Linked DNA regions of Coturnix japonica. Each later gene encodes a partner of the first gene's protein in a complex. Links are inferred from orthologs where the notes say so. Each region holds a gene or a part of one and is shown on either strand. Other genes may lie near its edges.

Evidence for each region. The genes of interacting proteins can lie anywhere in the genome.
Region 2: the proteins of TLN1 (region 1) and PIP5K1C are in contact, whole or in part, in a crystal structure (PDB 1Y19), measured with the Mus musculus proteins. The link is inferred for Coturnix japonica from reciprocal best matches to the Homo sapiens genes TLN1 and PIP5K1C. Residues at the interface, in NP_035732.2 of Mus musculus: Pro209, Val210, Gln211, Leu212, Leu214; in NP_032870.2 of Mus musculus: Pro646, Leu647, His648, Tyr649, Ser650, Ala651.

The regions. Positions count from the first base shown.
Region 1 is NC_029547.1:8,453,282-8,460,313, forward strand, and holds the end of TLN1 (talin-1), read left to right. Parts: intron 1-969; coding exon 970-1,075; intron 1,076-1,202; coding exon 1,203-1,327; intron 1,328-1,426; coding exon 1,427-1,552; intron 1,553-1,694; coding exon 1,695-1,757; intron 1,758-1,972; coding exon 1,973-2,155; intron 2,156-2,822; coding exon 2,823-2,948; intron 2,949-3,396; coding exon 3,397-3,528; 3' UTR 3,529-4,198; downstream 4,199-7,032. UniProt on the Homo sapiens protein: High molecular weight cytoskeletal protein concentrated at regions of cell-matrix and cell-cell contacts. Involved in connections of major cytoskeletal structures to the plasma membrane.
Region 2 is NC_029543.1:459,452-466,710, forward strand, and holds part of PIP5K1C (phosphatidylinositol 4-phosphate 5-kinase type-1 gamma), read left to right. Parts: intron 1-583; coding exon 584-667; intron 668-1,136; coding exon 1,137-1,185; intron 1,186-2,152; coding exon 2,153-2,237; intron 2,238-2,348; coding exon 2,349-2,510; intron 2,511-3,405; coding exon 3,406-3,547; intron 3,548-3,827; coding exon 3,828-3,860; intron 3,861-5,153; coding exon 5,154-5,261; intron 5,262-5,496; coding exon 5,497-5,629; intron 5,630-6,055; coding exon of another isoform or gene 6,056-6,088; exon of another isoform or gene 6,089-6,927; intron 6,928-7,259. UniProt on the Homo sapiens protein: Catalyzes the phosphorylation of phosphatidylinositol 4-phosphate (PtdIns(4)P/PI4P) to form phosphatidylinositol 4,5-bisphosphate (PtdIns(4,5)P2/PIP2), a lipid second messenger that regulates several cellular processes such as signal transduction, vesicle trafficking, actin cytoskeleton dynamics, cell adhesion, and cell motility.

The sequences.
Region 1 (7,032 bases):
CAGCCTTTGTGTTCAGCCATCAGAAAATGTGATGGGGCTAAAATATGAAGTGGTAATGGCAGCTTTCAGGAAGCCTCTGAACCTTCCTTCTCGCTTCTCCATCTTTCACCCTTTCCTTCACGTACCCCGTTACCCATGTGTCTCTGCCAGGGCATTCATTTGCCTTCTTCTCTCTCCTCTCCATCCTCCTGTGCAGCCGGTGAGTAAGGTGACACTTGGTGTGCTTGCCAGTGTCTAACCTCTGCATGAGCCTTGTTGGCGGCATGTCCGCCTGCCCAGCCCAGCGGTGACGCTGTGCCTGTGTGGTTTGGAGCAGGACCCCATGGTCCATGCCTGTACTCACTCCTGCTCGAGCTGATGTGTGGCCTCCAGTGTGCCGTGGTGTGTGCATGCCTCTGCAGGGCACCCTCTGCAGGGTGTCTCCTAGAAAGGGGATGTATGTCCTGCAGGGACTGAGACCTTGCTCCACATCCTCCCCTGCCCTGCTTGTGTTTGCAGATGAGTTTCTGAGAGGGGGGACAGCAAGGGAGGGATAGGTTCAGGAGCTTGGAGTGCTTTGGGGTGGGGAGAAGATCCAAGGAGACAGCCACTGAGTGGTGGAAGGGCTCAAGCTTAGAATCTGGTGCTGTGTAATGTCCCAGAAGCTGTGGACTCGACACAGCCAAGAAGAGCATCCTGTCCCTGTGCAGGAGGAGGCTCACCAGCACTGCTGCAGACAGGATGACAAACAATGACCAGTTCACACATACAGGGTGGGGTTTTCCCCTCTCCTTCTCTAGGGGAACACCTCAAATAGACCTATGCGGTCTGATTGCTTTGTGATGGCACTCACAATAGCCTGAAATGAGGGTGTCTGAGCCCCAAATAGAACTTTTACCAAGCAGGCAAACTCTGGGGGCAAGGAGCTGCCAGGTAGGGACCACCCCCTTCTTCAGTTTCCATAACATGCTCACTGCTGCTCTCTCACAGATCCTGCAGAAGCCGACCCATGAGCTGAAGCAGCAGCTGGCTGGGTACTCCAAGCGGGTGGCCAGCTCTGTCACTGAACTCATCCAGGCAGCTGAAGCCATGAAAGGTGAGCACCACAGCTACATCCACCTCTGGTCTGGCACCTGGGCTTCAGTAGCTGATGGGAGGGGGTAGGGTCATTGGGAAATCAAGCTGTGCATGGGTTTAATTTCTCTTGGTTCCCTTTTCTGTAGGGACGGAGTGGGTTGACCCAGAAGATCCCACAGTCATCGCTGAGAATGAATTGCTGGGAGCTGCAGCATCAATTGAAGCTGCGGCAAAGAAGTTAGAGCAGCTGAAACCAAGAGCCAAGCCAAAGGTTGTGTGGGGTACTGAGCCCCACCTCACCTCCCCAGCAGCCTCCTGCCACCTTCTCTGCCTTCCTGTATAGGATTAATGTGCTCATTTTTGCCTACAGCAAGCAGATGAGACTCTGGATTTTGAAGAACAGATCTTGGAAGCAGCCAAATCAATTGCTGCAGCCACAAGCGCCTTGGTGAAAGCAGCCTCAGCAGCCCAGCGAGAATTGGTGGCCCAAGGAAAGGTAAGACTGGGAGGGAAGAGAGTTGAAGTCATAAAGATACAGAGCTTTCACAGGGAGGGAAGGTGAATCTGGAGCTGTGGTGGGTTCTCTTCCTTCTCCAAGGACTGTTCCTGTGCCTTATTCACCCTGTCCTGCTTCACAGGTGGGAGTCATCCCGGCCAATGCAGTGGATGATGGACAGTGGTCCCAGGGACTTATTTCCGCTGTGAGTATCAAGGAAACATGGGGGCAGGGGACATCTAATGTTGGGCAAGATGCTCTCTGCCCTTATGCTTCCGCTCTCTAAAAGAGGCAGCCCCACTGCTGACTTCCTCTCCCACCATATGGGGTTTGGCATGGAAGCCAATTGACCCCATCCTATGCACCACGTCCTCCTTGGGACCCTCTCTTCCAGCCCTCTGACACCCTCTCTTGTTGCAGGCACGCATGGTGGCTGCTGCCACCAACAACCTGTGCGAAGCTGCCAATGCAGCAGTGCAGGGCCATGCCAGTGAGGAGAAGCTGATCTCATCAGCCAAGCAGGTGGCTGCCTCCACAGCACAGCTGCTGGTGGCCTGCAAGGTGAAGGCTGACCATGACTCAGAGGCTATGAAGAGGCTCCAGGTGAGTCCCTTTAGCCCCAGCTGCCTCCTCCAGGTTCCTGAACATTCCCTTGGGTGCTTGAGGGGTGGGTGAGAGCAGGGAGGCATCTAGGATCATGGGATGGGGCTGTGGCACTGCTCTTGGTGGTTCATTTGGACACTGGCTCCATGTAGCTTGGACTTCAATTGCATGCACATGTATTCCTGGGCTCCCATCCACCAGGCTGGGGTTGCAGAGCCTGGGGGTATTCACGGCTGATGGCCTGACTTGGGAATGCCTGAAATGTATGCACCAGATCCCTGGCATTAAAGCTTAGGGACATGTTTTGATGGTGCCATCTCCGTGGCCACGGGGCAGAAGTGAATGCCCACGTGCTGCAGGAGGGATCCCAGTGGGACCTCAGAGGTGTCACCTTGGGCCAGAGGCTGGGATGGGACTGTCCCTGCCCTGCTGTTCACGTGGGAGCAGAGTGAGGGAGCCCATGGGCTCAGTCAGGAGCAGCAGCGCCTGAAATGGTCATGAGCAGTCGCGGTGGCAGCGAGCCATGAGCAGGGAGCTCTGCTGGCAGCCCCCCTTCTTCCAGCTGCCTCTTCTGCACACCAGCCCATCTGGGACAGGGGTTCCCCCCCAGGGCAGCAGTTGTACCCTGGGCTGAGTGTAATGCCTCCCGTTTTTTCCCCCACTCCAGGCTGCTGGCAATGCTGTGAAGAGAGCATCAGACAATCTGGTGAAGGCAGCGCAGAAGGCAGCCGCCTTCCAGGACCATGATGAGACGGTGGTGGTGAAGGAGAAGATGGTGGGAGGAATTGCACAGGTGAGGAGTGGGGCTGCTTCCATAGGACAGGGTGGCTCTGGCTGCCCCCAAGGCCATATTGTCATCACACAGCACTGCAGGCTGGGAAGTGGCTCCCATTCCACACAGCAGGGCTTGATATTCTTCCTACTGTTTGTAGCAGTGGGCACAGCCAGTGAACATTTGCTGGTGCTTTTAGTGTAATACCTGCACCAACCCAGTGGCCACAGGGTGTGTGAAGGGTAGAATGCTGTTCAAGGGACAGGCGCAACCCTATATGACAAGGCACAGGTCCCAGCTTTACCTGCTGCACGTGGGACCTGCCTGCAGGATACTGTGGGCCGTATCTCCTGAGCACTGTGATGTGACCACAGGGGGTGCTTAGCTGTAGTTGTGGCTGTGGTGGAAGGATGCAGAGCAAGATGTTCATACCATGGGTGGACAAAGCATCTTGCCACTCTCTCTGCAGATCATCGCCGCCCAGGAGGAGATGCTGCGCAAGGAGCGGGAGCTGGAGGAGGCACGCAAGAAGCTGGCCATGATCCGGCAGCAGCAGTACAAGTTCCTGCCCACCGAGCTGCGGGACGAGGAGCAGAACTGAGCCCCGCGCCCAGGCAGAGCCCTCCCTCCACTCACTGCACAGACTGCTGCCTCCAGCTCCTATTTAAGACACCCCACCTCCAATAACGCTGGGCTGCCTCGGCCCGCACCGGTGCACCAGGACTAACCCAGACACCGTGCAGGTGCTGCACCTGCGCCGCTGCTTCGCCACCCATCGCACCTCTCCACGCAGCACACCGGGCTGGGAGCCTGTCCTGGGGCAGCTCAATGTGCCCCTGGGGCCCAAGGCTCCCTGCTGCCTGGGGCCTGGCCCTTCACGCCTTTCAGGACTTTCCTCGTGCCTTCTTATCCTCTCTCTTGCTTCTTTCTTCTCCCTCCTCCAGGTGGGAGCGGGTGAGGCCTGTGCCTTGCCCTTGTTTGGGGATCATCTCTGCACCTTCCCTTGTGCCTCGCACAGAGCCTCTTTTCACCTTTATGCCTTACTGCTGGCTGAACGCCCCTGCACTCCGCAGCAGCAGCCGCCTGGGAGGCACCGCACACCCTCCTCAGTGCCTCTGTTTGGGGCTGGTGCTGTGGCTTCGCCCCAGGAGCTGCTGTTCCCACCTTATTGCCTCCCAGCCAGCTCTGCCTTCCTCCTCCTTCCCAAGTGCCTGCGTTGTTTTCTGAGATCTTCAGTATTTTTTATAACTTTTAAATTTCTGTAGTATTGAGCCTTCAGCTTTCTGAGTTCATTTATCCCCTTGCTCACATCACCCCCACTAATGCCCGGAGCCCAGTGCCTGCCTGGAGGCCCGGAGCCCACAGCTCCCCATCCCTCCCTGGCTCCGGGACCTCCCTCCCTCCCCTTTGCACTCGCTGAGGCTTCTCTCACTATTTTGATACTTTGAGCATCCCATATTACACATGGAAGGAAACCACCTCCCCCCGAAGCTCCGGGGTGGAGGGAATGTGGATGGCTCTTTGGAAAGACGCTTTCATCAATAAAAGTGGTTTTCCTGCTTGCTTGGAGCACGTGTCCATGGGGGAGTGCAGGGACCCCCAACTTCGGGTGCCCCCAAGGAGCAGGGCTCTGGGGGGGAGGGTTGCTTCAGACCCCACTGCGGGCAGCATGGGGCTGCCAGCCCTCCTTGTGGGGGGAAAGCGCCACGAGCACTTATACAGCACGGAAACTATTTGAGGCATGTCCAAAGCGGCACCCGGCAGCCCAGACCCCCGTTGGCAGCTTCGCAGGTGCTACCCAGGGCAGGGGGGGATTTTGTTGCAGGGGGATTTGGGGGCCGGCTGAGCTCCAGTGTAGCACCTGCCCCTGAGGCTCTGCGCTCCTGGCCCCATTCCTGCAGGCAGCCAAAAATATCCCTAGGCAGGGCAGTGGGAGGGGGTGCAGGTGGGGCACCCCCTATGCATTGACCCCCCCAGTGGGGCAGCAGTCAGGAATGCGGCTGGAGCCCCTCTGGCTGCCTGGGCTGAGCTCAGGCCTTGAAATAGTCACCCTGGCTGCCCCAGCGTGGCCCCTTCCCCACCTGCTGCCACCCCTTCCCGTCACTCAGCTGAGCCTGGGGGCATGAGGGATGCAGTGGGATGCAGTGGGGATACCTCTTTCCCTGCACCCCAACTACCCATGCTGCAGGGCCAGCATCAACAAGCAGCCTGGATGCTGAGCTGCACTGCAAGGCATGTCACAACTCTACAGTTCTCAGCTGTGTCCCTTGGGCTGGCCTTTGGGGTCTCCATCCACCACAGCACTGCAGTGTCCTGCAGCATCATGGGGTGTCGAGGTGCAGAGGGGCCACTGTCCCCCTTGGGACACTGTCCCATGGCCCAGCTCCAGGGTGGATTTGTGCCTCCCACAGGAATCTCAGCCGTGCCAGCTGTCCCTTGACAATCTGCACTGCCTGACCCAGCACCAGGTACCAGACATGGGCATGGCCCAGCTCCACCGCCCAGGGCAGGGGCTTCAGCAGTGGGGACCCCCAGCTACATCTCCCAGGCAAAGGGTGGGTCACAGTTGCCAGCTGTAAATACACGTTGGAGGGACGCAGGGCAGCATTCAGCGTGGCTGGAGCCCTGACCCCGTAAATCTTTCAGCTGGGATTGGAGGGGCTATTTTTGCATGCAGGTTCTAGCAGGCACAAGTGGTGTTTGGGATATGTCAATCACAAGGTGCCCAGCAGCCCCACCACGGCCCCAAATTTGGGGTGGGCAGAGGACCTGTAGCCTGGATCATTGGGGAACACTGGGACAGGGCAGAGGTGACAACCAAGGAAGTGCCATCCTCAGGAGTGCACTGGAGAAGAGTACCCATCACAGAATCCCTTTTCCTGCACTTTGGCTTTGAGGACGAAGCCATGGACAGGAGGGCCTGGATGCCACAGGGTGCCCCTGCGGGATGTGGCCATGAGGAAAATAGGAGTGTGGTGAGGGGGAACTGCATCCCTTGGGGGGCTTGCAGGAAGCTCCCCCAGCTGCTCACACTGTGCTCATCACCTCTGAGTCCATTGGGCTGCTCTGCGCTTAAGCATCTCCCACAGAGCCATCCATCCATCTTTGTCTTGCTCCTATAAAGCCATTTTTCTCCAGCTCTCACCTCCAACCACTCTCACTGTGCCCCTGTGCCAAAAGTTGGGTGCACGCCCCATTGCTGGATGTGGCTGCAAAGCGACAGGCTGGGAGCTCATACAGCCCCTAACCTCATCCATCCCATCCCACCCCATCCTCTCCAACCCCCCCATCCTCCAGCTCACCCTGCAGCTGGGAATGCACCAGAAGCATTTACGAGCGGTATTCAAGCATGGGGTATTTTTGGAGGAGCTGGGATCAGAAGGGTTTTTTTTTTTTTTTTTTTTTTTTTTGCCTGTGGAATACAGTTTATTTTGAGAAGAAAGAAGGAGCAAGGCAGCCTGCGTGCCCTGAGTCACCCAGCAATGCTGTCCCATTGAAGGTACCCTCCTGCTGGGGATGATGGCCCTGGGGTGGTTTAATCACGGGGCAGCGCTGGTGCTGTGATGCAGCAATGGGATGGGACGGGGGAGTCAGTGTTTGGCTCCCTCCAGTCCTGGAGGATTTTTCCGTTGTTTTGCTGCCAGGCCTTGCGCAGAGGACACTGGGGCGGTGTGGAGGAGGGTCCTGGGGCGGCTATGCCAAGAGGAGCCTGCATTGCACAGGGGGGTCTCACTGTGGTCACCTCCATAGAGCATCCCTGTGCCCACTGCTGGCCCTGGGAAAGGGGTGCCACATTGGGCTTAGAGCCATGGCCCCAATCTCCAGCTGTGCCAGGCTGGTGGGACTCCCATACTATGGTTATGGGGCTGCATTGGGGGCTGCAGTGCCAGAAGAGTGGTGTCCTGCTGGGGACACAGATACAAACAATGCAGGGGACCCTGAGGCACAGCAGTATCATGATGATCCTGGGTATCTCCCGTTCCTTTCAGAGCTGATGGAGTGCCCCAGAGAGCAGTGCTGGCCTATGGGGTGTCCCCAGGGTGTCACAGCTCGTGGGTGTCCAAGTGCCACTGCAGCACCAGCAGGACCCCAGGACTGCCGTGGG
Region 2 (7,259 bases), on another chromosome or scaffold:
ACTTTGCTACCAAACGCTGCAGTTTGCTGTGCTGGCTGCTGGCAGCCACACTCTGTGGAACCAGCTGCTCCGGTTCCAGTGGAGGATCAGTCACAGTGGAGCCAGGAAATAGTTTGGTGTTTCCATTCTTTCAAAAAGCATCCCTAATTGTAGTGGCTGCTTTATGCTTGCATGCTTCTGTTGTGTGCTGGTGCTGCTGCACCTTTGGCTGATATTAAGGAATACCTTTGTCCTTACGGATCTGATGCCCTTTATAGGCAGCTCGTGCTGATTTAATGACCAATCCGATCCTCAGAATAAAATATCCCATAGCTAAGAAAAATCCTTATGGTGTTTTCTGGCCGCAGTGAAGCTACTGTCATACAACATATGTGTTGTCCTGGCATCTCACGTTTGGTGATCCAGGCTGGCAGCTCCTGTGTGCGATGGGCCGGGTGGGGAGGTGGCTGCTGGTAGGTTTCATTCTGTCTGACCACCACATCAGAGCCCTCCTTCCAGCACTGTCACCATCATTCCTCCATCCTGGGGCCCAACAGCTCTTCTTTTTAAGTCTGTACTCACCGTGGCCTTGTTTCACCTGCAGGATGGGAGGAATCCCAGCAGTGAATGGCAAAGGAGAGCGTCTCCTGCTGCACGTGGGAATTATAGATATCCTTCAGTCATACAGGTAGGTGCCTCTGCAGTCATCTGTCCTCTAAGCATGCTCTATCTATTTTAATACTGAATGAAAGCAAGATTTTCCTCTCCTGAAGAGTCTGATGGTGTGTAGGCAGGTTGCCTAAAGCTGTCTGATGTGTGTTGGGAGCTCTGGATTTTTATCTTGTCCTTAGAACAGCTGGTGACACCGAGCTGTTTGCCTAAGGCATAATGAGTTGTTCTTAAAGAAATTCCCCATCACTGTGCCTGGGATGGGCAGCACAGAGCCAGGGAGGGATGGGAGGGTTCCCAAGCAGTCCTGAGCCAGCTGATGGTGTGCTCTGCTGACCTCCTGGCTGGAGCAAAGCTATGCTCTGCATGGAGCGAGGATCAGCAGCTCACTGAGCACTCCTGTGCCTGTCATGGAAGGTGGCTCTGGCACCAAGTCTGTGCCCGAAGCTGAGTCCTTCCTTTTCTCTCTGCTTCTTCCCTGAAATTAGGTTCATCAAGAAGCTGGAACATACCTGGAAGGCCCTTGTCCACGATGGGGTGAGTGCAGGGGGTGCCTTCAGCAGGTTACCTGCCTTGGCTCTCACTGCTTGGTGCCAATTACCTCGCTATTTATAGTCCCTAAAGTGGTACAGTTGAAGCTGATGAAAGGAATAGTTCTTGCCTCTTATGCCTCCGCAGCAGTGTAGTACGACTTATTCCCAGTCAGGTTTTCTTGCACACTCCACCTCCTCACACACTTAGCTGTCATGCTACCAGCTCTCCTCCTCTGCTCCCATCTGTCATTTTCCTCCTCCCTGTGTTAGCAGGAGCTGTGTGTGCAAGGCATGTGCGTTCGTGTGTGTTGAGGAGCATTGCCTTGGCTCTGTTTGGTGATTGACTGCGGTTCCTCTCCAGTAATCTATCTGCTAATAATCCCCTTGCGGTTTCCCTGCTCTCATCTCCAGCAGCAGCGATAGGTGTGTGTTTAAAAAGACCGTCCTCAAGATATAGGAACTGTTTGTCAGCATTGCGCATCCAAGCTTCCCTTCACAAAGTGATGCAGAGGAGAGGGGGGAGATGCCAGGTCACAGCAGCACAGTGACATCAGAAGCAGAGACACCAGGTCCATTAGAAGTATGGAATGTGTGTGGGGACCCTTGGCTGAGTGCTGCTGTCTGTGTGATACGCAGCCATAGCCAGGTGTGCTTTAAATGTCAGAGCAAAGCCAGAGAAAATTTCATGTGTGTAATCAGGTCAATATTTGAAAAATCCAGGAAGTCTCTAAAGGAATAAAATCACCAAAATCCATTATAAAATTACAGCAGGAGCGTAATCAAACGCAATCAAATGAAAGGCAGTGCTTCAGGCTTATTTATAGCATTAATCAGATCATTTCAGTTAAGCCTTTCCATTTTAAGGATCTATCAGTGCTAAATGCTGGAATAGAAAAGATTGCGTCGGCTGCTTTAGAGATTCTGCCTTGAGGAGTAATTGTGAAATGAACCAGCGGTTTCTTCCTTTCCAGGACACGGTGTCAGTTCACAGACCCAGCTTCTATGCAGAGAGATTCTTCAAATTCATGACCAACACGGTGTTCCGAAAGAACTCCTGTAAGCATGTTGTCTGTGAAGTGAGCGGGGCCAGCTCTGCCTATGGAGGAAAGGGTTCCTTTGGAGTGACTTTAGTTGGTGGTAATTCTCTCTTCCACTCTTCTCCTCCAGCCCTGAAGTCATCTCCCTCAAAGAAAGGGCGCAGTGCCTTGCTGGCTGTCAAGACTCCTGGTCCAACAGCTGCGTTCTCAGCCAGCCAGCTCCCCTCTGAGAAGGACGAGACGCAGTACGACCTCCGTGCAGCCAGGAGTTATCCCACCCTTGATGATGAAGGTAATGGCCTGGTTGGTGTCTGCTGGCTGTGATCACCGTCTTTCCTAGCAGAGCTCCCCTGTTCTCATTGAGCTCCCAGCTCTGCACCAAATGCACGCCTTTCTTGTTGGGTGGTTCTTCGTTCCCTGTCTTGCAATGCTTTGCAGGTGCTAAACTTAACCAGGACAGGGGGAAGGTGAGAGTACATTGTTTTGTCGCAGTGTGAGCAGTTGGTGGATTGGGAAGCAACGCCTCTGCATCCCAACCGAGTCCCTTCTTTGCAGCACTGTGTGGTTCTGCAGTAAAAATGGTCGCTTGCGTCACTGCTGCAAGGCAGCTCTGCCAACTGGCACCAGCAGTTGTAGCCCAAATGCAATCAGAAGGTTGGGTTTTCCACCTGTAGAAAAAATGGGACCGAGAACTGCACATCTCTGCTGTTTGAATGGGNTAAGAGAGATCTTGCCATGGGGAGGAGAAAGATGAATGGATCTGATTCTTTGCCTTTGCATCCCTTCCATCTGGGCTGGATTTACAGATGGTTGGTGAAAGGCAGGCTTCTTGAGTGTGTAAGTGTTAGATTTCTACCCGTGCAAAGCAGTGAGCACTCGATTCATCTTTTAATTCACTCGGATATTTATCTCTGTCAAGCCAAGCCTTTAATCCAGCTTTGGTTACCACTGAGATGTCTTCCTTGGCATTACATTTCCAGTAGTGTCTATCTGTCACGCTGGAAATGGTGCCTACTGGCTCTCTCTAGAGGATGCTTTGGGATAAGCTGTTGTTTTCATGAACTTCTTGCCTGTTTGTGCATTCATGTGGGGGAACAGCCTCACATGGGGCCACAGCAGATGAGGAGCTGATGTTTGACCTGCTTATCTTTCTCCCTCCATCTCTCCTGCCCTGCGCTTCGGGCCAGCAGGCAGACCAGACCTGCTCCCCTGCACACCTCCTTCCTTTGAAGAAGCTACCACGGCCTCCATAGCCACAACGCTCTCTTCAACATCTCTCTCTGTTCCTGAGCGATCCCCTTCAGAGACATCAGAGCAGCCTCGGTACAGGTGAGCTCAGTGCCCATCCCCTGCTCGTGCTGCTGCTCCTCTTTGTGCCGCAGCTCTCGACAGCCTGCCCTGTACTCTGCAGTGCTAATGACCGATTTTAATTAAATCTCTCCTGGGAGCAAGCAGACACAGCTTTGATGGGATTAATTATTGCTGGGAGAAGTGTCAGCTGTTAAGTAGAACATCTCCCTCATGGGGTGGGGAGTTAGATTTGGGTGCAGCGTAGGATTTCTGTCTTAAATCCTCCCTCTAACTCTGCTCTCCTGGTTTCTTTCTGCAGGAGACGCACACATTCCTCAGGGCAGGATGGCAGGTGAGAAATGTGCTTCATCCTCACATTTTTCTCACCTCACCTGTGCAAAGGCTGCTTTTCTTGGAGGGCTGAATGTGCCCCTTGATTGCAATTTTAATTACAAGCAGATCTCCCAGAGTTTTGCAAGGAATCTTTAATATCGCCCCTGTTATTTGATGGGAAAGAGGATGACTGGATGTTCCTATCGATGGAAGGTGCAATAGGCAACTTGGTGTTGGTTTGCAGCATCCATAGAAGTGGCAGGGAGCTGTGAAGCTCCTCTCCTCCTGCCAAATCCAGTCTGAGGCTGCTGAAAATCAGAGATTAATGGAAATGAAACTCAAGCACCTGTGTCAGGACCCACTTGGCAAAGTGCCGTGACTTCACCTGAATTGCTCCAGGCTCCCTCACTGTGGGATGTGACTGTTCAGCTGAAAATAGGTCAGATGAACCGTGTCCTAGAGGTGGCAGTTCAGGGAGTTGGGTGACTTGGGCAGAGGTGAATGACTGTCACAGACTTGCCACAACTGCAACCACCCTGTATCTGGGTGACCCTCTGCTTATGTTTTTTTGCCCAGTTTCTCTATTTTTGGTGCTGATGTCTGTATCCTCTCAGCTGAAATGAAGAAGCCCTTCCCCTGTTGATTTAAGTTCAAAACATGGCAGACCTTTGACTCCCCAGATCTGCTGGAGAACTCCCTCTGGGTTTGGGAAATTCATCCCTCTGGCAGCACCATCCCAGCAGCCAGATGGGAGCGGTGCAGCCTGCTGGTTCCAGCCATGGGACAGAGCAGAGCCAGCCAGGGACTGAGCAGAGCTGGCCAGAACCTCTCAGAGACACGGAGACTGTGTCCTTGGCTGGGCAAATGCCAGCTCCTCCTTCCCAGGAGGACTATAGAGGCAGCCCTGCTAACACAAGCAATTACTTTAATAGCAAGAGGTATTAAATTGAAGACTGTCACAAACAGCTCCTGACTCGCAGATAAATAGGATGTTAACCCCGGAGTGAACCTCAGTGCACCAGAGCTGCAGCAGAGGTTGGAGGCTTTGGCTGTTGGGAGGTTGATGGATAACACTGGGATAGATCTGGGCACATGTTTTCCCCAGAGGCCAATTGTCCTTTTTTCTCCTGCGTTCAGGCTGACATCGCCCATCCTTTCTGCAGTGCTGGCTCATGAATCCCTTTCCTCCCAACTCCAGAGTGCTGAAAACCAAAACCTGATGGGACTGACACTCCTGCTGGGAATTTTGGTTACCCAAAACCTCACTCCTGGGAGCTCTGGCTGAGCCTTCCCGTGTTTCTTCTGTTCCCAGGTCACACGAGGAGGTGCGAGTTGAAGAGGAGATCAGTGATCAGCAGATCAGTGTAGAGCTGGAGCCCAAATGTGATGTTGAGATCGTAGCTCCTGAAGAAGACAAGGAGTAAGTATCTGGGGGTGTTTGGCAGAGTCCTGCCCAGCTCCTTTTTTGTCCATGGCAGCTCATGCTGATTTTGTGAGGCATCAGCTCCCCTGGGCAGGTGGTTTCCTTCCCTGATCCTTCTGGGTGTTAATGCAGAGCATCCTCTGCAGTTCCTCTGGGATTAATCACCCAGTCTTGCTCGCTCCCCTCCTTCTGCCCTCACTGACCAGATGCTGTTGTTTCTTCCCCCTTCCAGAGAAGCAGCTTCTTCAGCCTGTGCCATTGTCATGTCCACAGCTACAATAGAGGTGGAGACGGCCAGTCAGGCCTCCGAACCAGCCAGCCAGGCCTCGGATGAAGATGACGTGCCAGTCACAGACATATACTTTGTAAGATACCCTCTGCCCGGCCCCTTAGGGATGGAACAGGGATGTGTGGATGAGGCTGTGATCTGTTTCAGGCTGTGGGGTGTGTGGGGCAGCGTCTGCCCTACACTGTGCTGAGCACCTTCACATCTTAGTGCTGGGCAGGGTTTGAACGCAGGGAATAACCCTTGGAGAACTCAGAACAGCACCTGGTGATGCTGAAGCATGCGGTGCCACTATGATGTAGTCATAGGTGTGCTGCTCTATTTGGTGCTGAAGGTCTTATCTAGGCCAGTGTGTTGCTCCTGGGACAAGCCAAGGTGAAAGTGGGTGCTGCAGGGCCCCCCCCATCCTGGGCCCTGAGCACAGACACGCTGTAATGGAGTGGAGGTGGTTGTGGTGGGGCTGACGTGGGGCTCTTGTGAACTCTGGCTTTTCCTCTCCCTGCAGGCAGATGCATTAGGTGGTGCAGTGGAAGTCTAGTACTGAGACAGGGAGTAAGTGAGGTGGTTGCTGTTGGCAGCAGAGTGCCGTGGAGCCTGGGGCTGTGTTCCTCAGCCAGTTTCCACAACGTCTGAGCAGCTTCTGCAGAATGGAGAGGAGTTTTTAGGAGCGTGTGCCTGCTCTGTGGATTCCCAGAGTGGAGCTGAGGGTTTGACCCATGGCAGCTCTCCCCCATGTCCTGGCACTGGAACCTTTCCATTAAAAGAGGTGCTCTGCTCCGACTTGCATGGCGATGGAGATGAGCTGTGCCCTGTGAGCTCCTTCAGGCTACCCTGAAAATGGCAACATTTGGCTCTCCCTCTGCTCATGTGGCTCTGCTGCAGAGCTGCTCACTCGTTGCCGAGTCATTTGGAGGCTCGTGGGAGCTGCAGAAGGAATCAGTTTTACAAGCTTGTCTGTTTGGGTTTTTGTGCATGCTGTTCCAAATGCAAACAGCTCCCTCTAACACTGGCTGCTCTTTCTTTGCCTGTGGATGGCAGCTGTGTCCAGGCTGCCTGCAGATACTGCCTGTTCCACTGGCAAATGTCTCCTAGCGAGGGGTGGCTCCCTTCCTCCCTGCCCATGGGCACGTGGACTCCCCCCAGCTTCCACGGGGCTCTTCTCTAACCAGAAGAAACCATTTGTGTGCAGTGTGTGCTCACAGAGAGCCTGACTGACTCATCAGCATCCCATACTTCATCCGAGTCCTTGAGTTTTGCATTAAGTGTGTGTCGTGTGCTGTGGAGTGTTTGTCACTGCTGGGATGAAGGGAAAAGCTGATCTGGGTTTCCCACTGGCAGTGATAGTGGCTTTTTTGTTGGTTTTTCTGCTGGAAAACCGCTGGAGCTGGAGCTCAACCGAGGCTGCACCCAAATGCAGCAAGGCTCGGACCCCAGCTGCCCCTGCAAGCCGGCCCCAGGAGCAATGATGGGTGGAAGGAAGCAACGTGCAGAGGATGATTCGTCAAATCCTGGGGGCCCATGGTCTGCTTCTTGAAATCAGCTGCCGAAAGAAGAGCACTTTATGCCCCTGCTCGCTCTCAGGGGAATAAAGGTGCAGGGATTTGCCAGGCACGGGCAGTGCTACCCCCACGCATGGCTTTCCTGCCTGCTGATCCGTTCAGGCCTGGAGTTGTCCAGCCCCTTGGTTTATTTTTTTGCTTTCTCTTCCA